Kluyveromyces lactis: one gene and its partner. The protein of the gene in region 1 purifies or fractionates together with the protein of each later gene. This does not show direct contact. Links are inferred from orthologs where the notes say so. Each region holds a gene or a part of one and is shown in the gene's direction. Other genes may lie near its edges. The genes, in order: SGF11 and HFI1.

Region 1 (15,806 bases):
TAAGACAACTAAACACCATTGGTTTGGTATCACTACGGAAATTAGTGAGTCACGGAGTATGTACATTTGCAGATATGGAAAAACTCACAGAACAACAGATCGAATATTATCTCAGTTTGCGACCAGGCAACGGATATAAAATCAAAAGTGACTTACAAATGATTCCTTTATTATCGCTCGAATACAGTGTAGAAGAAAAGACGGTAACTCAAAACGCAATCCATGTTTCATTTAAAGTAGAAGTACAAGCCAATTTTAAATCTGCATCTTGGCATGGTCAACAACTTTGTATGCTGATCATGTTGAAGACTGATACAGGCATATTAATAGATTTTCGGCGAACGTTCTTGAGTAAGTTAAAGACACCCAAAGCCTTCAGAATAACCATCCAGGTAGACAGAAACACGAATTTTATCGAGTTTGTCTATTCATGTGAGCAAATAGGCGGATCAAATCGTGAAATCAGGTACTATTTGAGTAATGGGTGCTATGACGATATGCCAAAATATTCGAATGTACTTGAACAGATTGATTCAAACCAAACTGGCTCTTTCCAAACTTCAATAAATTACAGTGACGCCAGGGAAACTATAAACAATGAAACAGATGATGATGAAGAGCTATTAAATTTGTTAGCGGAGAAAAATAATTCAAATGCTAACAATGAACGACAAGAAGACTGCGACAGATCTCTATTGGATAATGGAAACATGAAATGTCACCATACTTGCAAGGACAAGTCAACTTGCCGCCATCTTTGTTGCCGGGAAGGAATTCCTAGAAACACCAGGCGTAAGGCATCGAAACAGAGCATGATAAAGCATACTGAGAGTGTGCAGCAAGAAGAACCATCATCATCTAAGGATGCAAGAAACGATTTGCAGAAAGGATTATCTTCCTCCAAGAGTATGCTCCCTAACCTTGACGAATGTCAGCAAATGGAGCCAGAGCCGGTTCTGGAAAATCCAATAAATTCCCTTCCCAAGGTGTCTTCAGCGCAGCAGACACAAAAGATCACATATATAATACCCTCAAGTTCCCCTAAACAGAGTAGCCCTTTCGATACATCGTTGTCTGACACTCAAGATGCAGATTTGCTAAACTTCTTAGGATCCGACATTGAATTGGGCTAAGTCGGTGGAATCTTTAGCTATTATAATAATTTTCCAGCAGATTGGCATTTCTTTAATCAAAATACCGACAACCTATTTGTAGATGAGTTAGTGCAGCAGCAGCAGTCGTCATACTCGATTTGACCAAGAAAGATAAACCTTACCACACCTCACAAAATCACGTGCATCGTTTTTGATGACTATTTTCTGTTTTCTTTAAAATATTGAAGTTCGCAATCCTAGACAAGCTAGACAATAACCACCATGGGACGACTTAAGAAGGTATAGAAGAATTATCTAGGTTTCTAGCTGAGTAACAAGTGAAGGGAGGGGCTAACAGGCTTCATTGAGTATTTATAGCATATTTGAGGTATGTCAATGATATCTGATAGCGACAATGAAACTGAAGTTGTTTCACGCAATCTATGTGGTGTTGTGGACATAGGTTCCAATGGGATAAGGTTCAGTATTTCATCTAAAGCATCACATCATGCTAGGATAATGCCATGCGTTTTCAAAGATAGAGTAGGTATTTCTTTGTATGAAGTGCAATATGCTGCGAATTCGCTTATCAAGGCCCCTATTCCTACTGCGGTTATCCACGAAGTTTGTTCTGCTATGAAGAGATTTAAATTAATTTGTGAAGACTTTGGTGTTCCAGAAACAGGAGTCAGAGTAGTAGCTACAGAAGCTACTAGGGAAGCATTGAATTCTCAAGAGTTTATAGATGCTATTTATGACTCAACAGGTTGGGATGTGGAAATTTTGACCAAAGAAGAAGAAGGCAGGATTGGTGCTTACGGTGTCATATCGTCGTTCAATACTGTATCTGGGTTATACATAGACTTAGGAGGTGGTAGTACTCAACTATCTTGGATCAAATGTGTTAATGGGGAAATTACTCAATCATCTACCCCGGTTTCATTACCATTTGGGGCCGGTGCTCTGACAAGAAGAATGAAATTCGAAAGCAAGCACGTCTTACTTCAGGAAATTGTGGATGCTTACAAGTCTGCAGTCACAAAGATTGGCATCCCCAAGGAGATGTACGATGAAGCACAGTTAAACGGCGGGTTCGATTTATATACATGCGGTGGTGGCTTGCGAGGGATGGGTCATCTTCTATTATCGCAGATCAAAGAATATCCTATTCAAACAATTATAAATGGATTTTCATGCAGTTTTAGCGAGTTCTCAAACATGTGTGACTACTTGTTTTTGAAGGAGAGAGTTCCAGGTGAATCGGCAAGTAAGATCTTTAAAGTCTCTGATAGAAGAGCCAAACAATTACCAGCTGTAGGCCTACTCATGGCAGCAGCTTCCGAGTCATTGCCCAAGATCAAAAACGTTCATTTCAGTGAAGGTGGTGTCAGAGAAGGTACTTTATACTCGATTCTTCCAAGGGAGATTAGAGCACAGGATCCACTTGTCATTGCAACCAGACCCTATGCTCCTTTGCTTGTTCACAAATATTTGGAACTATTAAGGACTGCTATACCTACTAAAGAGATTCCAAAGATAGTATACGAAAGAATAGCTCCTGCTCTTTGTAACCTCGCTTTCGTACACGCTTCATATCCAAAGGAACTACAACCGACCGCAGCACTACGTGTAGGTACATCTGGTATCATTGCTGGGTGTCATGGGCTATCTCACAGATCAAGAGCTTTGGTGGGAATAGCATTGTGCAATAGATGGGGTGGAGACATACCAGAACCTGAAGAAGTGTACAAAAAGCTATTGGAAGACATTGCACTAAGAGATGGTGACAAACTAGAACGTGAAAGGACAATATGGTGGACAAAATACATTGGCACTATCATGTATGTCATTTGTGGTGTTCACCCTGGTGGTAACATTGGAGATGGTGTCTTCCATTTCAGCACTTCGGAGAAAGATGAATCGGCTATTGATTTACAGATGCTATCTATAGATGAGAACCTTTCAGGAAACGGCAAGCCAACTCCAACAGGGAACCCGAACAAGAGGATATTCGAAGTTGTTGTCAAGATTAACAGAAACGATCTAAAGACTATTGCTTCTGTGAGGCAAAGAATCATCACGTTGCAAAAGAAAATAAGGAAATTATCCCGTGGTTCCAGCGACAAGGTTAAGATCAATGTAGAATTCTATTGAACACTCAATTGCGATCTCAGTATGTATAGGCTTTATATAGAATGCTCTTTATTTTACTTCCCTCAGCCTCCCTTCCTGTTGAAGATTTAATATCTAATTTACCCTGTTTGTAACAAGCCTCAGACCCTAAAATGTGATATAAATATTCGTGAAAGCGCCATATAGGTAGTGTAGTGCGCTGCTGTGTACTACTATCCGATGGTCGTATCCTCTGTTGATCACTCTGTTTTAGCTGGAAAAATATAGCGTTACCCGCCCTTTAACATTTTACCTTATTAGAACGATTTTGCCACTATCGAATATAAGAGAGACATGCAATTCATAATTAATACATAAGGAGTTCACTTCACGACAGGTTACAATCAACACTAAAGAGTCACCAAGGGTATTTTCTGCGAATCCAATCCATTGAAACACTTTCCAACATGAATCACGATCCATTTGCCTGGGGAAGGCCATCTGACGAACACTATGGCGCGTACAATCATGCCATTGCCCAAGCGTCAAATAATCCAAAGATGAATACTCAGAACCCTATTATTACCGGTACTTCTGTCATCAGTATTAAGTATAATAACGGTGTTATTGTTGCAGCTGATAATCTAGGTGCTTACGGTTCGTTATTACGTTTCACAAACGAGGAGAGATTGATCAAAGTGGGTCCCAACACGGTTGTTGGTGTATCCGGTGACATTTCCGATATGCAATACATTCAACATCTATTAGACGAGATGGAAATTGAAAACAATTACGATAGCGCATATGCGGATAATGAGGAGCAATTGAAACCAAGCTTCGTTTTTGAATATCTATCATCTGTGATGTACCAACGTAGATCCAAGTTAGATCCTTTATGGAATGCGATAATTGTAGGGGGCACAGAAGATGGAAAGCCATTTTTAAGATACGTTAACCTATTAGGTGTCACATACTCTTCGCCAACGTTGGCTACAGGGTTCGGTGCCCACTTGGCATTGCCCCTTTTAAGAAAGCTAGTAGACACCGAAAAGGACGTGGAAAAAGTGAATCTAGATGTTGCTAAGAAAGCTATCCTAGAGGCAATGAAAATATTATACTACCGTGATGCCCGTAGTTCACGTAAGTTTTCATTGGCTATAATCGACAATGAACTGGGGCTCAATATCGAAAAGGACCTACAAGTAGAGAATATGTCTTGGGAATTCGCCAAAGACATCAGAGGATATGGTACCCAAAAGGTATAGGTTTCGGATTTACTTCGTCTTGTCTTCATGCTTTCACTTATCCACGCAGATAATACTTGCACCAAAATACACAATCTCATGCCAACAAAGGAAGAGCAACACATGGTGATCCTGCTCTGGTAATATATACTTTCTTTGTCAATAACGGGAAGACCTCACCTCTTCTGTGTTTTCTCTATAAATGTATACTATGCGTAAATTCTGAATTAGGGCACATATTCACACATAATACACCAAGAAAGAAACTGATCAAAACGGCGTCAATGCTGTCAACTACTGGACAGCCAGCTCAGTCATTATGTCACTAAGATATTTCGAGTGAAGGGACCTGTATATATGAAGGTTATCGTTGGAGTTACCTTTCTTTATTCTTTTACAGTTCCAATTCTTTTAGAAAACAAGTTTAATTCTATATAAACAAGTAGTAACCTAATTGATTAATGAATCATCGACAAAGGAAAGACTAGAGGACTTATAGCGCTAGCCCAGTATACCTATATTCCATACTCTCAAATACAACTGGCTTGTAGGGTAGGCATCTATACGCCAGGAAACAGATTTTTACCGATATCTTGCGATATATTTCCATTCTGGTTTCGAAAGTGAAAAGATGTCTACGTATCCTGGATGCTCATTTGAACTAACTATCTTAGGAAGCTGTGGGGGCCCCCTAAACAATCATACACAGAGTTTCTTGATGAAACGCGCAGGATCGAGTGAATCAGGATATATTTGCATTGATGCGGGGTCCGGACTAGCTGAGATCGCAGATATGATCTACGCACAGGAATACGGTAACACGTTCTTAGTCAAGAGTCTATACAAATCTAGTGCCGAAGACGTTTCACGATTTCTTGCACAAGGGGTACGGTGTACCATTGGGTTTGGTACACCAAGTGAAGTGTTCCTGAAGAAAAGCGCAGAGGCCCACAGCAGCATTATGAGGACCGCTTGTGAAATATTCTCCGAAGTTAGGGAATATTATATCACACATCCGCACCTCGATCATATGATGGGTCTAATACTCAATGCCCCATTAATTTACACCAAACTGGGATCCTATAAGAACGTTTATGGCACAGAACATACCATACAAGCGATAAAAGAACATATATTCAATGATAAGATTTGGCCCGATTTCACCACAGACAACACGATCAGATTAGAAGCACTAGAACCTTCGATTCGCAGGAATACCTATTCAATACAGGGCATTGATTGCATACCGTTTACGTTGAATCATGGTCAAACAATAGATACCAAAGAACCTGTACTGAGCACAGCGTTTCTATTCCATGAGCACCAAACTGATGGACATGTTCTGATTTGTGGTGACACTGAATCAGATCTTGTCTCCAAGACAGACTCTTTACTCAACATATGGACATATCTAGCAGAGAATGTACCCATTAATAACTTGAAGGCCATCGTACTTGAGTGTTCTAACACAGACGAAGTGGATACAAGCAAATTATACGGGCACTTGTGTCCTCAGCATATTATATGGGAATTGAAAAGGCTAATAGAGGTATACGATGTGAAGCCAGAGAATTTTAGCTTGCATGTGATTCTAACACATGTGAAGGATATCGATTCAGAAGAGGATCCCAAAATCACTGTGTTGAAACAGGTAAATAAAAGGTGCAAACAGCAAGGATTAGACAAATATAATATCAGTTTTTCCATGGCGATCCAAGGTTTTACAATGATTCTTTGATATACAGATTAGCGTGATAATTTGAAAAAAATTCATCCTTATCCCATTGCCTGGGCAGGACCAATCACATAGACAAAAGAATGGCAAGGATGTTTGGCACCAAAAGGTTATAGATGTAATAATTAATAGGTAAAAGTAGAATTGTTGTATTAATCATAATAGATAATGGTGTTTTCTAAAAAAAAAAGAATTGTATTCGAAATGGATCGTTTGCTGTTCAATGAGTCGTAGATATTGCAGAACCAAGTGAGTTCGTACAACTATGATAAATAAATGTATTGGTATTATGTTTCTTTAACGATTATGGAAAAATGAGAGGCTGAAAAAAAGGAGATCCTATCATATACCACCTCCGTTAATGATTTCTATCTCTTGTTCGTCCATAGGTCTCAGTTTGAATCTTGGGGGTAATTGTGATATGGATCCAACTTCATTTTCTTCCAAAGGTCTGTTTTTAAACACATATTTTGGTGAATTACCAGCAGCTTTAGTAGAGGAACCCTTACCGGAAGCACTCTTATTTGAGTTCACGTATGGAACCACCTTGAATGGAAGCCATTTCTTTGCGACTTCTTCGACCGTAGAACAACCGGGAGCACCAGGCCTTAGTGAGTCAACGGTACAAGGATGTAAACCAGCATCCGCAGCAGAATGGGTCACTACAGGGTGAGGGCCGCCAACAAACTTGATTGAAGGAACATATTTGACTGCTTTAGCCAAGTTAAGAGTGGAAGCACGCATCTTTACAGGCTTTATAATCTCTTTATTCAAAGTTTCAACACCAGATCCGCGAGCCTTTTTCAATATCTGGGTCACTGATCTCGTTAATCTATCAATGAACGTCACGGTGGATTAATCACTTCTTACAGCAAGTGAATGGTCTAAATAACGATCTTGAATTGCAATACCTTCGGGAATCAAAATCGGATGTATCACAAAATGAGGAAACCTTAACACAAAAGTGGGAAAAAAACCTGGTTACTATTCTTACTTCGACTGTTCAATCAACGATTCACAAGTAACCAACAATTTTATCTGTTAATTGGCAATCTACTCAGTTACAGGAACCTTATAAACCGAGAGCCTTAATAAAACTGATAGAGAGTATGTATATATATATATACATCAAGACCGTTAAAGGTTGGCAAGCATATTGGGATACTTCGAGGAATTAATATATTACCCGGCCATTGTATCGGCCCCGATTGGGAACGCGTAGAGGACGACCGGAAATCCGATTACGTGAGCCACGTGACCACGAGTGTCACGTGACAGAGTGTCACGTCTGTCCCAACCGTTATTCATCTGGATGGTCTAGTGACGCCATGCACTCGATCAAGTTGTTTAAAGTTACAAATATGTTATATGAGGGTGGGGAAAAGGAGCGCCTATTCCCTGCTTACTACATCGTCCCATATTTTGGAACAAATGCTGAGGAAGAGCTTCTTATCCATTTGAGGGTCCGTTGAATCGAAATGGAATTGGAAATTTTCCATCATCAGTTGTATATCGCCTTCTATGACGACGTTGTTGCTATGGTCTTCGATTTCAATGGCATCAAAGAATTCTCTCTTGGTGGATTTAGGTTGTACGCTTAATGGAGCAATTCTTGTAGTTTCATCCTTGAAAACGTCCCTTGTCACTGAATTAGTGGCTCTGATAGGGTTCGACACGAATTGTTCGAAACTACGTTGGGTGTGAGGTGGTGCGGTGGTTGTAGGGTAAGCTGTCATTGGCGCATATTGATGTCTCATCAGGGGACGCGGCACGATGGGTGACGAAGTTTGAAACATCGGAATTTGGCCCGCTAAGTTTCTGGTCAAAGACCGGCCTTTATAAATGACTCTTGGTTTCGACACTCTGCTGGTTCTTTGTGAGAATGTATGTGAACTTGGAATTGGATGTCTTGTTACCATCGGTGGAGCTGACCTTATATTGGGTAATGATCCATTAGGTGTATTTTGCTTTGATTTTAACGTAAGTGGTTTTGGTATGTTATTTCTTTTCAATGATTTGGATTGACTCTTGGAAGTGTTGATTGAAGTCTCGGTACCAGGAGTGGTGGTACCATCTATCGAATTACTTGAGGATGATTTGTCAGTTTCCAGGTCTGAGGCTGTAATATTATTATTATTTTTGATGCTGGTACCAGCTTTCTCAGCAAGTTTCGTGTTTTCATCATCTTGTTCTTGTTCTTGGTCTTCATCCTGTTCATGTTCTTTTTCGTGTTCTTTCTCGTCATCTTGCTCTTCGTCTTGCTCGTTTTCTTGCTCATGCTCGTGTTCATGCTCATCCTCATTTATCGTTACAGAATCCAAATTCATACGCCTGATCTGTCTCTTCTGCTGCATCGCAATGTACTTCGATTTGTTAAACGTTTGCAACCGTTCGTCATCCAAATTAGCAGTCGCTATCCCTGGCGAGATACACTGCAATCCAAGCTTCTGGTACTGCGAATCAGAAATTTCTATACTTGGTGGTGAGGGCATTTGATCTGTCATTGGCATGTTTTCTACTACTTATTTCAGCGCTACTGTCCGGATAAAACACTGAGATGCACAGCTGTCTTATCACAGTACTCAAATCTATCCACCGCTAGTGTATCTCTCGTGTTAGTGTGTTTATATATACCACTAAAGTCACAGAAGACACGAAATGTTTATTATTTATCAGACCCTCACTTAATCTTCAACGGCTATATGTACAGTCCAATTGAATACAAAACCTCTCAGAGATAGCAATCCGTAAATATGCAACTTTGCTTTACCTGCCTTACCTACCGTGACTCTGAGAACACTGTTGCCATCCAGTGTTGCTGTCGTTCACGTTCTTTCAAAGCCTTTAACGGAAATGTTTCACATTTTCTATATAAAGGGACTAAAAAGGAAACTACATTGGGAAGACATTATGGAACGAATGCAAACGGATAAAGAAAGGAGAAAAGGAAAATTTGTGTGCTTAAAGTTCTACCACTACTGCTAGGAATCTCAAACTTGACAATTGTAGTTACAGTGCTGTGCTATCGAACCAAACTAGTTTCATAAGCATCGATTGTGTTTACTTTTTTGAGGTTTTAAGGTAAAGATCCAATTAGTTAATTCTATCAACATTATAGAGAATTCGAAAATGTCACAAGGCACATTGTTTGCGAATTTCCGTATTAGAACCTGGTTACCTCGCGCAATTGTGAAAAGCTTGAGTTTGGACGTTAAGATCTTGGAGCCAGAGAGCAACGTAGAGTACTGGTCTAAGTTGTTCCCATTGAAGAAAGTTCCATGTTACGTTGGTTCTGATGGGTTTAAGTTAACGCAACAGCTTGCAATCTTAGTTTACTTGGTCAACTTGAGCGATAACAATGCTGAGATCCAGCGTCTACTAGGTAAGGGCAACAAGGAAAAAGCTGAGGTGTTGCAATGGCTATCTCTTGCCAATACAGACTTGTGCCTAGCTTTTACTCGCGGTGCATTCCCGTTGAACGGCAGAAGCCCTTACAATAAGAAACAAGTGGATGACGCATATGCAGAATTGGACAGACTTGTCCAAAGGTACGAACAACGTTTGAACGACCACAAGTACCTCGTTGGTGACCGTGCGTCCCTTGCAGATTATTTGAGTGCTATTATTTTCACTAGGATCTTCGAGACTTTGTACGGAAAGAAATGGCGTGAAGAACATGCAAAGTTGACGCAATGGTTCACTAATATCACTGAAGATCCATTCGTGTCTTTCTTATGGGAGGGTATTACACTCTGCGACGAACCATTGCCAAACCCACCAACCAAATGATCGCATTGACAAATTTCAAGTTTATACATCTCTTTATATACATGTCTTCTCTATCAGTAACACTTTGTCTATGAGATAAGCTTCAAAGATCGTCAAGCGAGAAGTTACCTCGAACGAATTAGGTACTAGCCGGTCTATCCGGGAAAAGCAGTCCTATAAGAGATAGAAATTCCGGGACTGTAACAGAATGTAAACATGAAGGGGTTTACGCTGTAATAGCAGTGTTCATTTTCCCACCATGTTGCATATTCGGGATGATTACTCATATTATCGAGATTTCTTTCCATATAAAGAGAGATAAAGATGGAGCAACCACTAGTGGAGAAAAGGGAAAATACAAGATCAGCTTGGAAGAAGTCTACAAACGGTATTTGGGAACAGAAACCAACCGGCAAGGACTGTCTGACTGTCTGCCCTTTCTGCTTGAAACTTCCTGTCTGATTGAATACCACTGCAATGATCGTGACATTAATAGTCATCCTAATCGGCTTGTTGCATTACTTCGTCATATACCCATTGGTCTTCAGTCCATTGAGTTCACTACCTGGGCCGAAACATCTGAAGTTGAGCAGTTGGTTCATATTGAACAAGGCTCGTACGGAACAACGTAATGAATATTTACAAAGATTGCATGAGAAGTACGGGGATCTAGTACAGATAGGTCCGAACGAGGTAGCCTTCAATTCCTTCAAGTACGTGAAACAGATTTACATGGGAAATTTCCCTACAAGAGTTCGAAAACAATGGTGTGGGGTTCTATTCTCAGTTTGGTAACTTCAACACGAGGAACATTTTCAGTACCGGTGATACAAAGACCCATATCCAAAAGAAGAAGAACATTTCGAAAATATACTCCAAGAGTAATGTGATACAAAGCGGCGTTTATATCAGCGCCAAAGTTGATAAAGCATGGATTCAGATAGATAAGAATTGGGGAAACCGATGAACGTGTATTCTTTGTTTTTGGCTCTTGCCTTGGATGTCGTATCTGGGTTTGAATATGGGCCACAGTACAGTACGAATTTCATTACGGATCTGGATCATACCCGTGAGGGGAAAGCTCATCGGAACGAGTTATTCCTAGGGTTCCAAGAGAGTAGTAGCATGTGGTTTTATACAACACTGGCCCCAATGCTATGGGACACTGTAGCAAGATGGTATGGGATTGGTGAGAAATCGGCCAAATCTCAACAATGGATATGGGATAAATTTCAGGAGGCATTAAAACCGTTACAGCAGGGAATCATAGGGTCATCTACCAATGATAACACGATAGTATCACCTGTGGGTAACGTACTATCCACGATGTATGATGAGAAAATCGGAAAGGGACCAATCTCTCAAACACAATTCAGAGAGATAGCAAGTGAAATCGCAGATCATGTGATAGCGGGCCACGAGACTACTGGTATCACCTTGACTTACATATGTTGGGAACTTTCAAGACCTTGTAACAGACACTGGCAAGATAAACTGTTTGAAGAGTGTAAAACAGTACCATCGGATTTACAACGTTTAGACCAAATGCCGATTCTTCACAGTATTGTCCAAGAGGCATGTAGACTCCATTCGGCGATCCCGGGCAGCGAGCCCAGATACGTCCCACAAGAGGGGCCCAAATTCGAAGCTACACTAAGGGATAAACACGGAACCCGTGTAGAAATTCCACCGGGGACCATAGTATCATGCCAACCATGGTCGTTACACCTACTAGAAACACCATTCGGTGCCAATCCAAGACAATTCAATCCGGCAAGATGGTTAAGGGACGAAACAACAGGGGAAACCGAACAAGAGTACGAGAAAAGGTTAACGAAAATGAACAATTCCATGTTCACTTTCGGACAAGGAAACAGAATGTGTCTTGGCATGAACCTTGCATTGATGGAGATGAAATACTGCATAGCACAGCTGTATTCAAGGTACACCACTGATATTTCTCCCGAATGGTGCAACAAGGTGTACCAGCAACAGACAGATTCGTTGATGGGGACAAGTGGACGTGGCAGAGCCACGTCCATCAAAGGAACGGACGTCGACATGATGAGAATGGCAGACACCTACACTACAAGACCCTTAATGAACGAATGCTGGCTTGAATTTTCATCACGTGACTAATATGCACGACCCATATCGGCTGCAATTTCCTAATACGGAGAAATACCCCGCGCTTATCACCAGAAATCCTCCTCACTATAAAAGCCGAAACTGCATCGGAAACCTTCACAGAAAACACCGTACTACCGCCACCTTAAAACCTTAAGCGGTCGCTTTTGCCCTTTACAGAAGCCTCAAGCCGTTATTTCCGGGTTATCTCAGCATTCGTTCATCCCTTATCCTCAATTCCTCTTGCTGAGTCAGGCTCAAATAGCGGCCATTTCCTTTTGATATTGGAGATTACACAGATGGTAATTTAGATGATCCATTGTATGGATTGGAGATCATTTGGCAAAAACTCGTTTATTTATAATGGAACAGAGTATATTAGGGCTATATATATAACATCATGACTGATTCTGTAACCGTTTCTTCATTCATAGTGTCGACATACTTTTACCGATACGGTTGATTATATTTACAGTAGTATAAAACCATTACTGAACATAGCATTCAACACATAAGCAAAATTTTTTTCTAACCATGGGCCATCCTACTAATACTGCGGATGTTAGGAAAGACCGTGTGGTCACAAACTCTCAAGGTGCTCCAATTAATGAACCATTTGCTACGCAACGTGTAGGACAGCATGGTCCTTTGTTGTTGCAGGATTTTAACCTTCTTGATTCGTTAGCTCATTTCAACAGAGAACGGATTCCAGAACGTAACCCTCATGCTCATGGATCAGGTGCGTTTGGGTACTTAGAAATTACAGATGATATCACGGACGTGTGCGGTTCAGCGATGTTCGATACCGTGGGGAAGAGAACGCGATGCCTTGTTAGATTTAGTACTGTTGGTGGTGAGAAGGGTTCTGCCGATACGGCACGTGACCCAAGAGGGTTCGCTATCAAGTTCTATAGTGAAGAAGGGAATGTCGACTGGGTCAACAACAACACGCCAGTCTTCTTCATCAGAGATCCTTCTAAGTTCCCACATTTCATTCATACTCAAAAGAGAAACCCAGAAACCAATATGAAGGATGCTGACATGTTTTGGGACTTTTTGACGACAGAGGAGAATCAAGTCGCAATTCATCAAGTGATGATCTTGTTCTCCGATCGTGGTACTCCAGCTTCTTATCGTAACATGAACAGTTACTCGGGTCATACTTACAAATGGTCTAACAAGCAAGGTGAATGGCGCTACGTGCAAGTGCATTTGAAGACAGATCAAGGTATTAAGAACTTGAACAACGAGGAGGCGACTAAGTTGGCTGGTGAAAACCCTGACTACTGTCAAAAGGATTTGTTTGAAAACATCGCCAAGGGTAATTACCCATCTTGGACCCTTTACATTCAAACTATGACCGAAGAAGAGGCAGAAAAATTGCCATTCTCTGTATTCGATCTAACAAAAGTTTGGCCTCATAAGCAGTTCCCATTGCGTCGTGTAGGTAAGATGGTTTTGAATGAAAATCCAGAAAATTACTTCGCTCAAGTGGAACAGGCTGCATTCTCCCCATCGCACACCGTCCCATACCAAGAAGCTTCTGCTGACCCTGTCTTACAAGCACGTTTGTTCTCTTATCCAGATGCCCATCGTTACAGATTAGGCCCTAACTATTCTCAAATCCCTGTTAATTGTCCATATGCATCGAAGGTTTTCAACCCAGCTATCAGAGATGGCCCAATGAACGTTAACGGCAATTTGGGCAAAGAGCCAAACTATTTGTCTACTTCTAAGAAGTACCAATTCATTCAACAATCAAAGCCAATTCAACAACATCAAGAAGTATGGTCTGGGCCTGCAATGCCTGTACATTGGGCAACCTCACCAGGAGACATCGATTTCGTTCAAGCCAGAGACTTGTATAACAAAGTGTTGAGCAAACAGCCAGGTCAACAAAAGGCATTGGCCCACAATGTCGCAGTACACGTAGCAAGTGCATGCCCTGAAATCCAAGACCGTGTATTTGCCATGTTTGCAAGAGTCGACCGTGGTCTATCTGAAAACATCAAAAAGGAAGCTCTGAGCTTATCCCCAAGAAAGGCTGCTGCATTGAATGCAAAGTTATAGAGAGAATTAGCTGTGCTTTCTTTCTCTCTCTCTATCTCTTTCCGCTTTGTATGTACGTTTTATTTATCCCCATATTTATTACAAGTATACTATTAATATCTGTCCGTAATGAGATGCATGGTATCAGGCATTGTAGCCGCTAACATGTCGACTGTTGTCTCTTGTATTCTGCTTGTATTCCCTGTGCTTATCGTCAATTTTCTGCAATATCCAATTTTAATAGAAAAGCAAGGTCAAATTAGCTTACTTTGATATTGAAACAATCAATTCTGTTCTACGATCAGACATAAGACAACAGTACTGACTTGACTTATTCAGTATTTGCAACTATCAAGAGGTGGCTGTAACCATGACTGCTTCTTTGACCACAGATTCGGTTGCCGATTCCATATATCAGAACATTCTTACTTCTATCATCCAAGATATCATCTCGCGTCAAACAGTGAAGAGAAAGCTTCTGAAACTGCAATTCCCGGATGCTAAACCGTATTACGCTGACCCGTCAGGAACATTGGATATACACGGTAAGGCAAAGCAAGCAGACTCCGCCGTTTACATCGAATGTAATGTCTGTGGACGGGAAGTTAGTGGGAACAGGTTCGCTGCTCATCTCGTTAGATGCTTATCACGTGGTAGAAGGTGAGATTTCATTACCCAGCCTTAGTGCAGCCTTAAATCTTCCCCCAAACCCATAATGTGTGTCATTTCAAATCAAGTTGTCCAGCATCGTACCCTGTACCCTTAAACCTGTGATAACGATCTTTAACCCATCATTATAACGGTGTAAAGAGTTGTCAGGTGTTACTCTACAGAAGAGCGGAAAGTTAGAGACACTAGAACTAGCAAGTACCCTTCAGAGAATTAAACTGAGTTACTTATGTCGACTTTGCTAGAGACTTTAGATCAACAATGGGTCAATTCCAGATTATACGTTGATAAAGACGAGCGCAGGACCCAGCTTGGGAAATGTGTTGAAGAAGTGCACGACTTTAAGATCCAGTTGAAGAAATTGAAAGCGCATTTGCTGAAGCATGGATCAAGTCCACAGAAACGTCTTGTTATTAGGGAGAAACTAGCGAAATCTCATAAGAACTGGGATTCTTCCATGAAGAAATCCTTAAACTCTTCTATCAGCACTTACCGGAAGTTTTCAAAGGCGTGCGTCAAGCCCTTGAATGAGTTTCAATTGGATTCTGTTTATGTGAACAAGATAAACCCTCAGAAATTGTACTATTTGGATACGGCGATCTTTTCTCACATCGCAAGGTATTATACTAATATGGCTGTAGGAACCACGTCAGATGAAATGCTGAAGTATTTGCACTCTACGTATAGGATCCCCAGATCTATTGCAATGGATTATATAGAAATGGCCAACATTGTTAAAGAAATGAGATCAGGCAACTTGAATACCTGTATCCGATGGTGTCAGGATAATAACCTGGAAGTACTTCATTTCCAATTACATTACCTAAACGCGATGTCATTGTTGTCTGAAAATAAACCTATGGAGTGCTACTTGTATATACAGACGAACTTGGCGTCGACAGTGAGTAAAAGTTCTCAACTACGGATGGCTAGACCTGTGTCCGCATTGTTGGCTAAAATTGTCATTGGAGATACAATACCAGCCTCAAAAGTAGATGCATACTTGGA
Region 2 (16,900 bases), on another chromosome or scaffold:
TTTTTTTCTTTTCGGCAGAGAAAAAGATGCAGCAGGAGGGATTTTCAATGGACAAGTCAAAACAGTGGGCAATACTCTAACAAGTAAGACCCAAGGGCCATCCACGATGTGTGTGTGTATATATATATATGTGCACTCTTGGACTGTTAAAAATGAGACGGCCCAAGGGCCGTCTCATTCATTGGGACCAGGAAGCGCAGCCCAACCAAATCCAACACAAATACGGGCCACGTGACGTTAGTCACTATCAAAAATGTGTCAGTATTAAGCGAATATCTCGTTATTACCCGGGCCCCTTCTATGATAGTCAACTATGTGTGACACATTTTCACCTGTCTCTCTCTCTCTCTGTCTCTCTGGTGCACCGAGAAAAGGAGAAAAGGGGACCTAAGAGCATTAAATTACCCGGCCATAATCGGCCAATCGATTCAGAGAGTTTCTTATCAATGAAGCTAGTGTCATATCACGTGATCGGTCTTATGCACAGAAGACTTTGGGAAAAATCCCCGCCAGGCAAAAATTCCGTTGGGAAAAAAGTCGTAATACTTGTGGAAAAAAAATTAAGATTGTGGGAGACTCGATGGACTGATTACTTTTCCGGAGTACCATCCTAATTTTTTCCGCATGTAGGTGGAAAAAGTTTAAAGTTGGCTCCGTCGATTCTATGATATCTCAGGGTAACCGCGGATAATTTGTCAACATGAACCCTGTTCAGGACAGGACAGCACAAGAACACGCATTAATTTTCTTTCATATATTGAATTTTATGACAGATGACACAATTCAGAACATTGGCACTGGGAGTGGAATTGGAATGGCTGGAAACTGGCAGAACAATTAGGAACTTATTAGGTAGGAATTGAGATGTCTGGTAACTCGGTTAATCGCGGCTATCTGCTGGTGTACGTTGTTCTTAACATTTGTTTGTCTGAATTTGACATCTGTCTGGTAAAATGATTATACTGTATTACAAATTGAATGCTCGAGTCACAGTTATGATTCATTATCGTTCAAGAAAACTCCACCAGCAGCAGTATACTTGGTTCAATCGGTGTTGAAAAAACATGCTTCTCTTGAACATATATAATGGTATACTGTCCGTGTGTTAATGGATACTCTTCCAGACAAATTATCTTACTATGGATTATAATTACAGCTTCTAAGATCACTGAAAGATAAAGTAACCAAAAATAAAACAATTTCGCTAATGTTTTTCAGAAAATTGAGTCAAAGCGGGAACTCCAGCTCGAATCCACCAGAATATACAGAAAATGACTATTTAAACCACAAACCATTTTTTTCATCTTTGCGAACATCTGCTTTGGGTCCTCAAATAGCTCCCTTGAATGAAGTCAACCCTTCGAAAGGAAAAACGGTTTTGAAGACGTTGAAAGATGTGCAAAAATTGGGTAACGTTCCATTCCATTATAATGTATTCGATGAGGCGTTGAACCCGCCAACACCATTGCATGATTGCAAATCTCTGCGATTGGAATTAGCTTTAGATACTGACACAGTTTATTTACCTGGTTTATTTGAACAGCAGGGTAGTTCATCGGATTGCCCATTGGCTCTTCTCACCGGGAAAGTTATCGTTACTGTGAAAGCTACATACAACTTGTGTGATGCAAGACTTCAAGATTAAATTGAACGGATACTCTACTGAATTCGTGTGTATGATGAAACAAAAACATTTGAAAGATGGTAGCATTTCAGATCCAAATTCTGAAGCGGAACTTGATTTTGAAACGGGCGTCGATGGTTGTCCTCAACTAAAACTACTTAAGGATAATGCAAACGGTAGCCTTTCGTATTTGAAACCGTTCGTCACCGATGAAATCAGTGCTTTTGATACGTATCCAATGGTTTTAACCCAGGGTACATATATTATACCCTTCAGTTTTGAATTGGATCCTATCAAACATCATTCGTCTTTCAGATCTCTTTTTGGTTCCACCACTTACAGAGTAGAAACTTTATTGAGGGTGATGCAGCCTTCCAAGGGAATCATCAGTGGTATCCCCACCGATTCGGGAGATTCTAAGAATTACTTTCTTTCGCAAAAATGTTTCATCACAAAGACGCTGTCACCTTCGGATGTTTTGAAATACGAATCTGTTAATTCTCACGGTACGTTTCAAAATGGACTCATTGATTATGGCTTTTACATCTCTACAAAATTGATCGAATTCGACTCACCGTTCCATTGTCATTTCAATTGTATTGGGAAACCCGATATTAAGATCATCAAAGTCAATGTTTCTCTGCTGCAAACTTGTATTCTACCTTGCATCAAACCGGATGGCATCGCTGCTGCGAAGAGATCGTACTCGAATACCAATACGTTTCGCTTGGCAGAGTATGTCGTACCGCCCGATGAACAATCTAATATCATTACTACGAAATTTGAGGATCTGAAAATTGCTACCCGTTCCAGTTGCAATCTGTTCACCTCGAAAATATTGCCTTACTACAATGAAGTCTCGAGGTTGGAGACAGTTGATGGCGAAAAAGTAATGAAATTGAGCATTACGCATCGTTTGAAAATTGTTGTTACGATTAATCCCTCTGGATCTGACTCAAGCTCAAAGAATTTCATTAATGTTAATTTCAAAATTCCAATAGAGGTCATTGACAAGAATATAAGTTCAAGCCTGTATTTGCCGGCGTATAAATCTCCATCGCCGGCTATATCAGGCAATGGGCCATTTACAATTGATGAAGACGAATATAATTCTTATTCCTCACCCATATCACTATCCTCTGCTGATTCTCCACCAGCTTACTCTGGCTTGTGCCATTGATAATCTTGTGGACAGATATGTTGCCGGTCAACTTCAACAATAACTAATATAATACGTATTCATATATGACTTTTAATTCAGATTCTAATATAAAAAGCGGATAAATCAATGGCTGATAAGTCATTCGTTGCCATCTGGAACTGCCCCCATTCTTTTTCTCAGTTTGTCCCGGTAATTGGTGCAAAATTTGCCTGTCAAAGACATGAGTCACAAGTGATAAATTTTTGCAAAAATGTTAATGACTCATTACTATTTCTCATGAGGTTCATTTTCCCAGGTGTCATATCTGAGAATATCTTCAATGAAGTCATATTGTATTAGGGCTGATATTGAATAACAAATAACGCTGTGCTGCGGCACTATAGTGTCTTTTAAGGTTTGCCTACTTCCGCATAAAAAGACCGAAATGAAAAAGAGGGGTTATTAGACTAGTTCAGAGCGAATACCACACGTGAAACACTAACGGTGCTGCAGCGTTGACAACACATATCTTCAATTTCATCATGAATATTCCTACATATCAAAAAACTCTTACTTTGTGCATTATTCTTAGATAGTACAAAGGGAAAACTCACCATAAATCAAAAAAGACCAACGTCGTATTTTGGATCCGATGAGTATAGATTAGTTCTGGCCAACTCATCTTTTACATACCTATAGAGTTGCGGAATTATGTTTTATCCGTACTTACTTAGACTAGTGGTAGGCAATCTGTTCATTACTATACTAAGATATCTAGAAATTTATTTCGACCACAAAAGTACGAGTTAAACATACTAATCTTCCACAATTATAAGAAATTAATTTAAATCAATTTAAATAAATATTTTTCTATAGTGGCTCTATTATGGGGATGTAAAATCAGTTTTACATGCGGAGTATGACAAATCATCACTTTGTGTAATCTGATTCATTGTCCTACAAATCTGGATCAGAAATTGGCATTATATAAACTAACGCGTTTTCGCGTCTTCTCTTCTCATTTGCCTTCTGGTTCACCTACTTTAATTTCCTTATAAGTATTTTCGCCATCTTGCCCCTTCTGGGTGTTACTGATTTCTTCTTTCCCCACTCACAATCTGTTATACCACAAATCTGGCAGAACACATAATTTGACCGACGACAGATACGCGCCTGAAAACCACGGAAAAATAATGTTTTTCCGTAAGCTCAGTTTATCAGGGTCATGTGACTACAAAAAGCCTCCGGCTTATAATCAGAACGACGATTTAAACCATCTGCCCGTTGTGCTTGACCAAAGAATCTCTCCAGCAGGACCGAAAATTAATCCCTTTAACGGTGGGGATAACAATTCTGGTGGGTCCTCTCGGCCAATTATTTCATTGAAGAGCCTTAAAAGGCAGAACGTTAATGTATCATCATCCTTCCTATATAATGCATTTGATGAATCACTGAATCCGACCAAAAAAATTCATGATTCGAACACCATGAGGGTTGAGTTAGTCTTGGATAACGATACTGTATACTTACCTGGTTTGAAAGAGGATTTAAGATCGCATACCTCTTTAATGGATTTGAACCGTTATCCAGGTGAAGAAGAAGAATTATCCAACTATAAGGCTTCGTTGACAGGGAAATTAGTCATTACTGTGAAATCTACGTCTTTGATAGTCCAAGATTTGAAAGTGAGATTGAACGGTTACTCAAGGGAGTATATCTGTGTTTTGGGGTCGAATAAGGGCCAAACTCAAAATGACCTAACAGATTCCGACGATACAGAAGATGACCTTTTCTACGTTCAAAAGAAAAAAGATAGATCGGTTAGACTCTTGAAAGATAATTCTAGTGACAATTTCAGTTCTTTCAAACCTTTTGTCACTGATGAGATCTCATGCTTTGAAAAATTCCCTATGGTGTTGACGAAAGGTACATATATCATTCCATTCACATTCATTTTGGATCCCTTCAATTATCATTCTTCGTTTGATTCACTGGTTGGTGCAACATCTTACAGAATCGAAACTTTAATGACTGTGTTACCACCATTTAATGGTACCTCTTCAATTAATAACTATTGTAATACCCAATTAGCTTCTAAGTTCTCAGAAACTATCTTTTTAACGCATAAATTTCTGATCACTAAGACGTTGTCCCCATCATCACTTTTAAAATATGAATCAATCAGTTCACAGGGAACTTATGACGAAGGGTTCTTAGATTATGATTTTTTCATATCTTCTAAGCTGATTGAACTAAACTGTCCATTTCACTGTCAGTTTAATTTTCTGACGAAAATGGGAGCTAAAGTCACCAAGGTCACAGTTTCCCTAGTGCAGCTTGTTCTGATACCATGCCTCAAATCAGATGGCATTACACCCTTGAAGAAATCGTATATCCAAACTAATACCGTCCATTTGGGTCATTATTTTCCCACTCCAAATGATAACGAATCGAAGCTGGTAACTGCTAAATTCGAAGAACTTGTAATTAACACAAACTCTAAAACAAGTTCCTTAATGACTAAGATCTTGCCATACTACTGTGAGGAATCAAGGTTAAGGTTAAGCAGGAGGAACTCAACTGAGAAACGTTTTAAACTTAAGATTACCCATCATTTAAAGATAACTGCTGGTACATCTCTGGAAGATTGTACTAACGGCACTTTTCCTGACAAAACAAGACGTATTAACATTAATTTCAAGGTGCCCGTTATGATAATTGATAAAAATATGGGTTCCAGCTTGCATTTACCAGCTTACGAACCAGCTATGGATGGTAAAGCCATGCCCGTTTCCATTGGTAGTGAATTTGATCAAACAAATAATTCATCTCTGATATACATTCCTTCAACTTCATCTAGCTGCTCTCCGCCAAGTTATAACAGCTTAGGTTTCTGAATATCCTCACCTCACAAACACAAGTATCTAATAAATAATATTTAATAAATAGTCGAGAATGTCAGTAATCATTTATCACCAATTCGGAAACAATTTGTCTCGTGACAGATTCTTTCTTGAAGTGTCGAGTGATTTCATCACATTAATGAATAAAAGTGGAATTTCGATACTTAAGGATGTAATTGAATAGCCAGAATACTATTGACAATTCCGTTCCAGGAGTGGTATCAGTGGTCAAAGTATATTACAGTAGACAGCAAGTTAGCAAACCATAGTGTTCATTTCCTCAAAAGCCATATCTCATATACCCATTACGCGTCGTATTACTGAGTACTATTTGGAATTACCCTCACTTCGCCTTTCCAATCGAATTTCGGTTTTAGTTTTCCGTTTGAAAATGAAGAAATCAGAAAATCGAATGAAATTGTATAGGATGGATGAGATTAGCGAGTTCAGGAAAGAGAAAGCCGCCCTATTTGACGGACAACAAGGTACTTCATTCGGATTTTGACTGTGCACTGACTGTGCATTGATAAGTAATTACTGATAATCTGAAAAAAGGTGACAATTTAGCCGTGGTTACCGCTCATTTTGAAACCCTCCACTGGTCAATTTTCGTCTCTGGCTACTGCGGTTTATTTCTACTTTGGTTTATTTTAGAACGCTGTCAAAAATAAAAGGCATATCGAATCACGTGACCGAGAATGTCTGTATCAACGCCAACAGTTGCAACAGGTGGTACGCCGACAATTCATGAAGATATTGGTATTAATAGCAACCATCAGAACAACAATACCAATTCGGTGAAGGAAATCAGCAAAACCAGTAATAACAATGGTGGAGGAAACGTTGGGTTTCCTCAGGATAAGCGATTGGATATTGAATCTATGATTAATGAATTTAATGAAGTTTTAAGCAAAGAGCATTGGGCGAAATATGCCAGAGTGATTTCGTTATTCATACTCGGAAAATTGTCCAGAAAGGAATTGGTCAATGAATTAGACTTACTATTTAAACCTACCCAAGAACAGCCGAATATTAAACCAAGAGATTTAATACGATTGCATAACCAACTTTTACTATCGATATTCACTAATTCTCTTAGAGAAACCACCGACGATGATCCACAATCATCGAAATGGGGGTTCCAGAACGGTTCTCAACAACAGAATAAGAGAAGATCAAACAAGCCCAACTCGCAGATCGAATTATACAAAAAAATTGTTGTTTCCCTACCGTTATCGGATAGACAACGATTAAAAATGATAACAAAGGAAGCAGGAAAACGAGGATTTGTATTATGTTCAGTGCTACAGGCTAGATTGAGACAGATACCGAAATTACCTTGCGTCTTCAACCAGGAAACTGCCAAGAGAATTCAGCAACAAGATCTGAAGGGCCCACAGGAATGGTCCCAAAAGATCATGAATGGTTTCAAAACACAACTTTCTACCGAGTCATATGTTTTACCGGATAATGAGTCTCTTTATCTTCGAATGCTAGGAATTGCAAGAGAAAATGGAATTGTTGGACAGATAGATTCGCGATGTGTTGATATCGTATCACTTGCATTAGAGTATTATCTCAAGACAATTATTGAATCCACCATAGATACAGTAAGATACAGAGAAAAGAAATACTCGGACTTCTACGACCTAAACGATGACGGGTTCCAACAAGCATCTAGTGCGTTAGCAAATAGTAAGACTGAGAGTGATAAAGCGAAGGATATTACTGGTAACAGAACTGTATCCATTACAAATGAAGACGCTTTGGACTCGTTCACGATATTCCCCAACGTTGTTGATCCAACAGGTGCATACCTTGGATTAACTACAAATGGGTTGGTAAATGACGATGAGATCGTTCATTTCAAAAGTCCTGTCGATGATCTATTTCATTATAAACGGGAAAAGCCTAACTTCACTCCCCTTGACGAAAAGAATATGGGAAGCCGGGAAGAGCTTAACTGGCTAATTAAAGATATTCTTACAAAGAAATAATGACTAACAGTATTGCGAATATTCTCAATTGAAGGAGCCAAAAGTCACTCTTCTGATTGATTTAATCGAACAATTTCCACGCTTTCATTTTTTTGTAGAATTTATAGACAGGGAATATGACTACTATTTCGGATTTGGTAGTTTATGTAAAGTTTGTGATAATTGTAATAATGAGGAATCTGGTGTATCAAAATTGAATATTATTAAGGATTCAAGTCTTAATAATAACGATTGCAAGAAGGTCGAGACTGGGCTGACAGCCGTCTTTGTGATATCAATCGCATTCATTTTCTGAATTTCCTTAGTAGGTGCTTGGATGAAAAATATGCTTTCAAAATCATCTTCTTTATCGAAGACTTCAAATTTCATAACATGAATTCCTCTGAAATCGGGAAGTATAAAATTATTCACTTCTTCAATCGGTAGTCTTTTAGAATGGAAATCAATACATTTTTCGTCAATGACAGCGGATAAATCAGAATCCTCAGAATTTAATAAATCCTTCGAAAGGTCACTGTCGTTCAATACAACCATCTGAACAAGAACTTTGGATTTCAAAAATCGTTCATTTATCGTTCGTAGGAAATCTTTCCTCAAATCATCGTTTATTGATATAATATTACAACTTTTCTTACTCTTTAAGCACGAATCGACGAAGGTGAAGCATTCATTATTGAAAAGGTTTGAAGGTGATACTAAGTCTCTCGGAAGAATTCTGCTAAAGTAAAACACATCTGTATCTCCGATAATACATTTGTTCATATAGTCTACTGCATAGTCATTAAGTTCGTCGTAATTAAGATATGCAAAACAACGAATGTGACCATCCAACTCATCTATTGTGTTTTCCAGGATTCTTCTTTGCGATTGCTCTTGTTCCATTCTATCATAATTTTTATTGTATTCCGCTTCTGCTAATTTAGCTTTGGCTTTAACTTCATCAGTGGTATCTTTCTCTGATTTATATCTCAATTGAAGTTGGTTAAGTTTCTCCTCTACCGGCTCCAATGAAGCTTCTAACGTTTGTAGCTCCAATCTTTTATTTTTAATAATTTCTTGTAAGGAAAGTTCAGTATCAACACTATTTCGAATTTTATCTCGTAGTGCTTCCTGAGTTGCCTTCAGATCATTTATCTTAATCTTTAGTTTTTTGTTTTCTTCTATGGATGCTATCAGCGGTTCCTTTTTATCTTCTTTGAACTTTTCCAATCGTAATTTTAATTCATTCTCATATGATTGAATTTGTTCATGGTTTTTACGTTTCAAATCTTTTAAATCATTCTCTATGATCGCTTTATCTGTGCTTAACTCTTCGATTTCTTTAAGGACAGCCGGATCAGGTTTAGTTTGTTTTAATTTTTGTAACTCAAGTTCCCAGATGTGTCTTTTATCAGATATTTTCAGCTGCCATTGATTTATCACTTCTTGTATATTTATAGAATGCTCTAAATTCAAGTTGTTAGTTATCAGCTCATGGTTTTTCTTCTTTAGCTCACAATCGTTCTTCAACTGATATAATTGTTCCTGCATCACCATGGTCTCTTGTTTCAAGTGCTTGAAAATGATGGATCTTTTGTTCAAATTGTATTTGAGCTGCGGGATAACCTCAGAAGTAAGGGATTCCAACCGAGAATCCGTTTCCTCAATCTGTTTAGTAAACAAGTGAATATCTTTTAAAGCTTTTCTCTCTCTTTTCTTAACCTCCTCAATAACGTTGGGATCCCCATAAAAATATTTGTTCAATAGTCTCATATTCGTACTTTGACTCTTCGTTTGATATGAAGGAGCAAATTGCTCCTTCTTCGAACCGCTACTGTTAGCTACTGTCGTTGTTCCTGTAGTGGTCACCATATTCGTTATATTTGCTAGCACAGGATGATGCTTCTTCTGTCCAGACACAGAACCTGAAGAAAACGGCTTCTGCCGTTTTCTTGAATTTATAGATGGAATTCGAGTCTCATTCATAACAAAAGGTCACTGTTCATCAATAGCATTGACTTGACAAGCTCTGATCAGGATTGTCGCCGCAATCGTAATATAATGCCTACCTTAAAATCAGGTAATTGAATAAAAAGAAGAAAATTAAGGCGCCCGTTATCTCGGTAGTTACAGTAACAAACGCACGGCCCAATTTGAAATCAGTGATACACAGGTGAGACACACCTGAAACCGAACCCAAAACCTGTTCTGAACAACTGTTGATGTTTCAAGCTTTTCTCATACAGTCTATTTGTTTATGTTTACAAAAAAAGCGATGAATACGTAAAATGTCATTTGAAAGTCACGTGGACAACAAATATATCTTTTCTTTATGTGAAAGACGATATGGTAACCGGGTAACAGTAAAATACCTTTAACTATGTATGTATTGTGCATAGATAGCACCGGTACACAGCGTGGGGAAACTTTTACTGATGCATGATAAATAATAATAATGATAATGGACTGCGAACGAGCTTGGTTGATTGCTCCTATTTACAGGTAATGCAACTGGTGTCACTCATGTCATGCTTCCCCTGTTGGGAAAAAAAGAAAGATCTAAAGCTGTCTCTTTTCATATGATGACTGAATTCAGTTTAGTCATTCTCTCTATTCGAAGTCTGAAGATGAAACATTTCTTGTCATTGAAGGAAGAGCGACTCTGATACCATCGATATCCTTATTCATTTTAATGCAACATCCCAATCTACTTGTCTCAGTTAACCCGTAAGCCAAATCCAACATATCATTTTCATCATCGTCAGGTTCTTCTAATGCGTCGTAATAGTCTGGGTCCACAATCACGTGACAGGTCGAACAAGCACAAGAACCACCACAGGCACCCTCCATATCTAGATTATGGCCTTGAGCTATATCCAAGAGAGAGTCCCCTTCTGCCACTTCAAAAGTCTTTTGTGTTCCATCCTTCAATATGAATGTCACATGCAACTCTTCTCCCGGTTTCGGTTTATGTAAATGTCCATGGTATCTCTTCCATGACAAATTTGTACGGGCTAACCATATGTTGTGAGAGATGCTAGGAGAAGTAATGCTTCTGGCTCTTAACTGGTTCAGATGCCCAGCTTGTCTAGTCAATATTCCTCTGATCATTGATTATACAGGAGTTTTTCCAAATAGATATGGATGATTAAAAATAATTCACAAACAACAACGATAAGTGTTACTAAAAGGAAACCAAAGACCCTTTCCGTCTGCTATACCACAATGAGAAAAAAAGCTGTCCTGAACTTTTATCAACTCTGATTCTTAAGTAGCTTTTATTTGGCAAAAAAAGGTTGCTTTATATCTAGTTCTCCCTTCAGTTCACATCGAAATTGGCAAATGCTTATTGTTAATCATTCAATTATTGAATCTCATCGGATTTTTCCCAATTTGTCAGTGTTCATGAAAACGCCGGTATGAAATGAAACCAAAGACAAAAAAAACAGACCGTTTCTGGGCCTGATTCCACCTCGGTCTTCCGCGGATTTGGCGGATGTGGTTCAAAATGATTGTTTGCCCTTATCTAGATACTGGTCTTTACATGACTCAATCAAAGTCACGTGAACAATGTATTTTTCTTTCTTTTTCTTTCTATTCCCTTTATTGAAGCTTCTCCCATGAGTTCAAGTTAATGTTAGGAATCAACGAAAAGCAGGCCTGGTGATTAAGCTGTTATAGCTGGTAACGGGGCCTACTTCAGACGTACATTGGCCTGCAAGTTTACATTCAAACCTTAAATTTCCTTTAGGTTGTGAAATTCGGGAAGAGATAATATAAAAAGGAAGGTTCTGAACCATATTATTTTATCAGGATGTCCTCATTATTGCAGAACTATGAATCTGAATGTCAAGTCGCTATAAACCAGGCGAAGGTTTTGCTTGCTAATGCTAAGAATGATGCCGGTGCTGTTTTAAAAGGTGGAAAATCGGATATACTTTTACAAATTCAACAGTACCATGATGAATCTTTAGAATTAGTGGATCAAATGGAAATAGAGTTGAATAATACAGGGAACTCGTTGGATTCTAAGACAAGGGCATCTTATAAAGCAAAGATCAGAGATTATAAGAGACAGTGTCAGAATGAAATTAAGGATCCTTTAAAGCAATTGGTGCAAGAAAGCGATAGGAATAAGTTACTTGAAGGTCGCCACTTCGATAATGATGAACAAAGGCAACAGCTTTTATCGAACCATGCGCTTTTACAACGTTCTGGTGATAAATTACAGGATGCTACAAGACTGGCATCCGAGACTGAGAACGTTGGTGCACAGATAATGATGGATTTGAGATCTCAAAGAGAAACATTGGAGAATGCAAGACAAACTTTGTTCCATGCTGATTCGTACGTCGACAAGAGTATTCGCACTTTGAAAACCATGACTAGAAGACTCATAGCCAATAAGTTCATTTCTTACGCAATAATAGCGGTTTTGATACTACTTATCTTGTTAGTGATATTCTCCAAATTCAAATAGTAATCGATTTCTCTGCGTCTTTTAGTTCAGTCTCAATGCAAGTTTAAGCAGAATAGCTATAGTAATGAATTTATATAATTTTAATTTTGACCCTTGTGGTATAATTTTATACTCTCATGAGAAGAATACAATTTACCGTGTATAAATGATATCTGATTTTGAATACTTATCTAGTTGTATATAAAATAAGAACGATATAAGAAATAATAATAATAAAAATAATAATGATAATGATAGTAATAGTGATGGAAAAAGGCCGGTCAGAATAGCATAGCGCTGTTCATGGAAGACATTCTAATTCATCTTCATCAGCTGAATTGATAGTGGTATGAGATAGACGCCTCCTTAATTCATTTACTAGACGTGATTCTTCTTCGGCTAACTGGTTCTGTTTCAGTTTCTCGAAGGTCACACCTTCTTCATCGTCTTCTTCGCTACTGATGATGCTTCCGGAGCGCTGAGCAAGTTTTGCAGATTCACGTCTTGTGCTACCAATACAATGTAGATATTTCTCCTCTTCTGTCAACTCAAGTTGCGTAGCTGTTAAGTTAATTAACGACTTGGAACTCTTACGCCTTGCAATTTTACGTGGCATGTTAGGCTTTAATTCGTTTAACAATGAATCGACTTGAGTTTTGTCTAAATTGGACAGAGTGACAGATGATCTAGGAGTTCTAGGCAACCTGACACATGATAAACCTGTGTCATGAATCCATTTAGCCACTAGCGCAGTCCAGCCACACTGATGGCTTGCACCCAAGCCCCTACCAGTATCACCGTCGAAATATTCATAGAAAGGAATTAGTTCCTCGAAATTAGGATCCTTAGACAAAAACTCACTGTATTCACCATGATATACAGCTCTTTGGCCTTCGGCATCGGGGATGAATAAATGAATTAATCTATGCTGAAGTTCTTCTGCCACTTGGGCCAAGTTTAGGAACTCGCCAGACCCCGTTGGACACTCGACTTTGAAGTCAGGACCATAGTACAAAAAAAACCTTTGCAATGACTCGACAAGCAAGAAATTTGTAGGGAACCAAACAGGCCCTCTCCAATTGGAGTTACCACCAAACATACCTGAGTTTGATTCACCTGGTAAATATTTGACTTCGTATTGTTCACCGTTAACGGACATAGAGAATGGGTGGGTTTCATGGTATTTAGATAGAGATCTTATACCGTAATCGGATAAGAACTCAGTTTCATCGAGCATCCTAGATAAGATGGCTTTTAACCGATCTTCATTAACAAGAGCTAATAGAAGTCTCTCACCGATACCTCTTTTTTCCATAGAAGCAATATTTCTATCAAACATGGCACTTCTATTGGAAAGGAACCAGTCAATACGTTTCTTAAAGCCAGGGAACTTATCTAAGATTCTCGGTTCCAAAGTCATACAAGCATACAATGGAATTAAACCAACGAGAGACCTGATTGGTAGTTGTTGCTTAAATGGTTCACCCCAAGAAATGGCATCGTAATAGAATTGGTCTTCTTCATTCCACAAACTTTCTTTGACTTCCTCTTTGAAGTTGTCTGCACTATTCTTTTCGAATTTGAAGGACATAGAATCACTGATGTACAAAAAGTGTTCGAAAAACTTAGTGGCAATGTCTTCATAGACAGGATTTTCCTTTGCAAGTTCTAATGCGATATTTAACATTTGCAATGAGAAGAATGCCATCCAACCAGTCGAGTCTGCCTGTTCCAATGTTCCACCTGTTGGCAAAGGTTCTGATCTATTGAAGATACCAATATTATCCAATCCTAAAAATCCACCTTCAAAGACGTTGTTACCGTCATGATCTTTGCGGTTAACCCACCATGTGAAGTTCAACAAAAGTTTTTGGAATACTCTTTCCAAGAACACTCTATCCTCACGGCCATACATATTTCTTTCAATCTTGAAAACACGGTACACAGCCCATGCATGAACTGGAGGATTTACATCACTAAAATTCCATTCATAAGCAGGAATTTGTCCGTTAGGATGCATGTACCATTCTCTCGTAAAAATATCCAATTGTTTCTTTGCAAATTCAGGGTCTATCATAGCTAATGGGATACAATGAAACGCGGTGTCCCAAGAAGCAAAGAATGGATATTCCCACTTATCTGGCAAGGATAATATATCTTCAGCATACATATGTTTCCAATCCTTGTTTCTCCCATTTGCACGGTTCTTTGGTGGAGGAGGCTTTTGCAGTGGATCACCGCAGTACCATTCGTCTTGCACGAAATGATAGAATTGTTTTGACCAAAGCAATCCGGCAAAAGCTTGTCTTTGCACCGCTCTCAGAGATTCTGGGATCGGAGCCGGAGTGACTCTCCAGTAGAAGTTATCCGCTTCCTGTTCACGCCTATCGAAAAGACTGTCAAAGTCATCTTCGTCGATAACCATTTCATCTTCGAACATCGGTAACCTGGTATCAGTCAACTTATATCTTACAGTGACGTATTCACCAGGGGGAACCTTGGGAAAGTGGTAAACACCACATGCCTTGGTACCTTCATTCTTCGGATTTACTGCCTCGGTATCCTTATTGACGATATATTCGTTGAAGGCATCCTTGGTATAAGGGGTGGGGTTTTCCTTTGAATCAAACAATTTCTTCCAATTCGATTCGTTTTCTGTGAACAACAACTCCGGTTCCACATCTAGGATACCTTGATCGTCATCAACACCATTAGTAGCAACTGTAGTCGGATGATCATCTTCTCCGTCGTCAAACTCACCCGGTGAAGGGGCAAAAATCGCGTAAGTGGTCCCATATTTCTCTGTGGACAAAGTAACAAAGTTATTACCAGATTTCTCTAGATGAGGCTTAACACGATCGGTTTCGTTCCAGGACCAAGTATTTCTGAAAAACACTTGTGGTGAAATATATAATTCCCCTGTCTTCGAGGTACTACGATTATAAGCTGTGATTCTAAAACTCAAATCGTTAGGATTATCGTCATCCTTGGCCATTTCATACACGATATCGAAATATGGGGTATCTCCAGTGTCCTTTTCCTTAAACAAACCATCGATTTCGTAAATCTCGAATTCTTGATCTTCGAATCCCAATTCCGAATTCCTAGCTACCAATTCCTCATAGGGGTAAGGTTTATTGAAAGGGTATTTATAAATAGCCTTCATATAAGCATGCGAAGGTAAATTATCCACATAATAGTACAATTCTTTACCATCTTCACCATGGTTCCCCTGATGACTAGTGAGTCCGTACATTCTTTCCTTTAAGATTGAATCCTTGCCGTTCCAAACCGCAACGTTACAACAGATAAGCTGTCTGTTATCAGAAACACCAAACAACCCATCTTCGCCCCATCTGAATACTCTACTATTAGCATGTTCGAAGGGGAAAAACGACCAAGCGTCACCATCATGGGAATAATCCTCTTTAACAGTAGCCCAACTTCTCTCTGATAGATACGGACCCCATTTCAACCAGTACTTCTCTTTGTTTTTGTTCTGAAGTAACCTTCTCTCCTCAGTAGTCATTCCGTTTGACATTTCTAACCCGGAGAATCGAAAGCTGCTTGACACTTGCAAGTGACAGGAAGAAAGAGAAAGAATGAATATATATATATTGGCAATTATATATTGTAAATCCCTCGAAGGTATATGCTTTTTATTTACATTTTATTTTGTCTTTATTTCAAGTCCTTGAAAATGGAATCGAACGCTACCCTTAAAAGAGGCACAGGGAAACGAAGAAGAAGAAACACAAAGAGAGAAGGGAAACCTGGGGAAATATCATCAGAAATCAAAGAAACACAGATGTATGAAATTGATACTAAAGAATGCTACATAGTGTATAATCTAATCGTTATAGTTCTAGAAAAGGAAAAAAAAAAAAAAAAGGCCAGCGATAATGTTTGTTAATGCAAAAGGTAATTAGTTAAAGGTATGTCAGAATTCAATGCTAATGGGAGTTGTAAGGGGAAGACCACAGTGGTTTAGAATTTTTCTAGCCATATCCTGTAGTTGTCTTGAGGCACAGTAGAGAATCCTGTATCTGTACCTATCGAATCCTGTATCACAATTGCCTTTTGATTTTCTGATCTTGGCTTTGACAAAGTAGACGTAGCGGTATCCTGATCTAGAGAGAACATTTCGTCGTCTAGGAAGCTAGTGGACGGATCCACCGAATATAACAATGGGGTATGTATCAGGTGTGAATTGTTTAGGTCTGAGTCCAAATTGTCGTAGAATTGAGAGAAAGAGGTGGAATCCTCTTCGTCCAAATCTGGAGTGTGAGATAATAGTGGTGGTTTAACAAATGTGTAATCGGTCGTATCACAGTACGACTCTCTTAGAGAGCATGCGAAAACTTCTTCAGCGTCCATTGTTGGATATATGTATCTTTGATTGATTGATTGTTTGGTTGGTTGTAGCTAGCAAGTGTTAGGTTTCAATAGAAAAGAGGTATCATTACTTAACCAGACTTATACATCTTTATATACACATCTTATATACACATTCACGTCACATACCTGCAATTATGAATCACACACCTGGATCACCGAATAGTCATTCCTAGGTGCAATGAGGAAAAGTCAACAAGTCAACAAAATGACACACACAATATCCACCACCACCACCACACTGAGAGAGATTAGTCACTTTCTATTTTTTGGGCCCATGTCTGCGCATGACTGCCCAAAACTTTAAAATTTTCTCAAGGCCCAAAGAAGTTGTTAGAATGACCCAGCAAGGCCTAAAAGAAAGAAAAACCACACCTCTGAAAACATGCCAGAGCAAGGTGC

The links.
Region 2: the proteins of SGF11 (region 1) and HFI1 purify together in Saccharomyces cerevisiae (affinity purification with mass spectrometry; 7 studies listed by BioGRID). This does not show direct contact. The link is inferred for Kluyveromyces lactis from reciprocal best matches to the Saccharomyces cerevisiae genes SGF11 and HFI1.

Annotation. Positions count from the first base shown.
Region 1 is NC_006040.1:984,171-999,976, forward strand, and holds SGF11 (SAGA histone acetyltransferase complex subunit SGF11), read left to right. Parts: upstream 1-14,499; coding exon 14,500-14,793; downstream 14,794-15,806. Other genes in the region: HFM1 (DNA helicase), read left to right, coding at 1-1,133; RTG2 (Rtg2p), read left to right, coding at 1,485-3,248; PRE4 (proteasome core particle subunit beta 7), read left to right, coding at 3,674-4,471; 3',5'-cyclic-nucleotide phosphodiesterase PDE1, read left to right, coding at 5,082-6,188; alpha-ketoglutarate dehydrogenase subunit KGD4, read right to left, coding at 6,528-6,929; DIG1 (Dig1p), read right to left, coding at 7,577-8,695; CAM1 (translation elongation factor EF1B gamma), read left to right, coding at 9,315-9,974; KLLA0_D11638g (uncharacterized protein), read left to right, coding at 10,917-12,092; CTA1 (catalase A), read left to right, coding at 12,615-14,150; ubiquitin-protein ligase RMD5, read left to right, coding at 15,028-15,806. UniProt on the Saccharomyces cerevisiae protein: Component of the transcription coactivator SAGA complex. SAGA acts as a general cofactor required for essentially all RNA polymerase II transcription. At the promoters, SAGA is required for transcription pre-initiation complex (PIC) recruitment.
Region 2 is NC_006038.1:895,421-912,320, reverse strand, and holds HFI1 (Hfi1p), read left to right. Parts: upstream 1-6,366; coding exon 6,367-7,665; downstream 7,666-16,900. Other genes in the region: KLLA0_B10428g (uncharacterized protein), read left to right, coding at 129-614; KLLA0_B10406g (uncharacterized protein), read left to right, coding at 1,208-1,645; KLLA0_B10395g (uncharacterized protein), read left to right, coding at 1,626-2,804; KLLA0_B10373g (uncharacterized protein), read left to right, coding at 3,959-5,662; CIK1 (Cik1p), read right to left, coding at 7,789-9,630; YAH1 (adrenodoxin), read right to left, coding at 10,255-10,755; v-SNARE protein VTI1, read left to right, coding at 11,459-12,124; KLLA0_B10263g (uncharacterized protein), read right to left, coding at 12,405-15,644; ATG41 (Atg41p), read right to left, coding at 16,091-16,480. UniProt on the Saccharomyces cerevisiae protein: Component of the transcription coactivator SAGA complex. SAGA acts as a general cofactor required for essentially all RNA polymerase II transcription. At the promoters, SAGA is required for transcription pre-initiation complex (PIC) recruitment.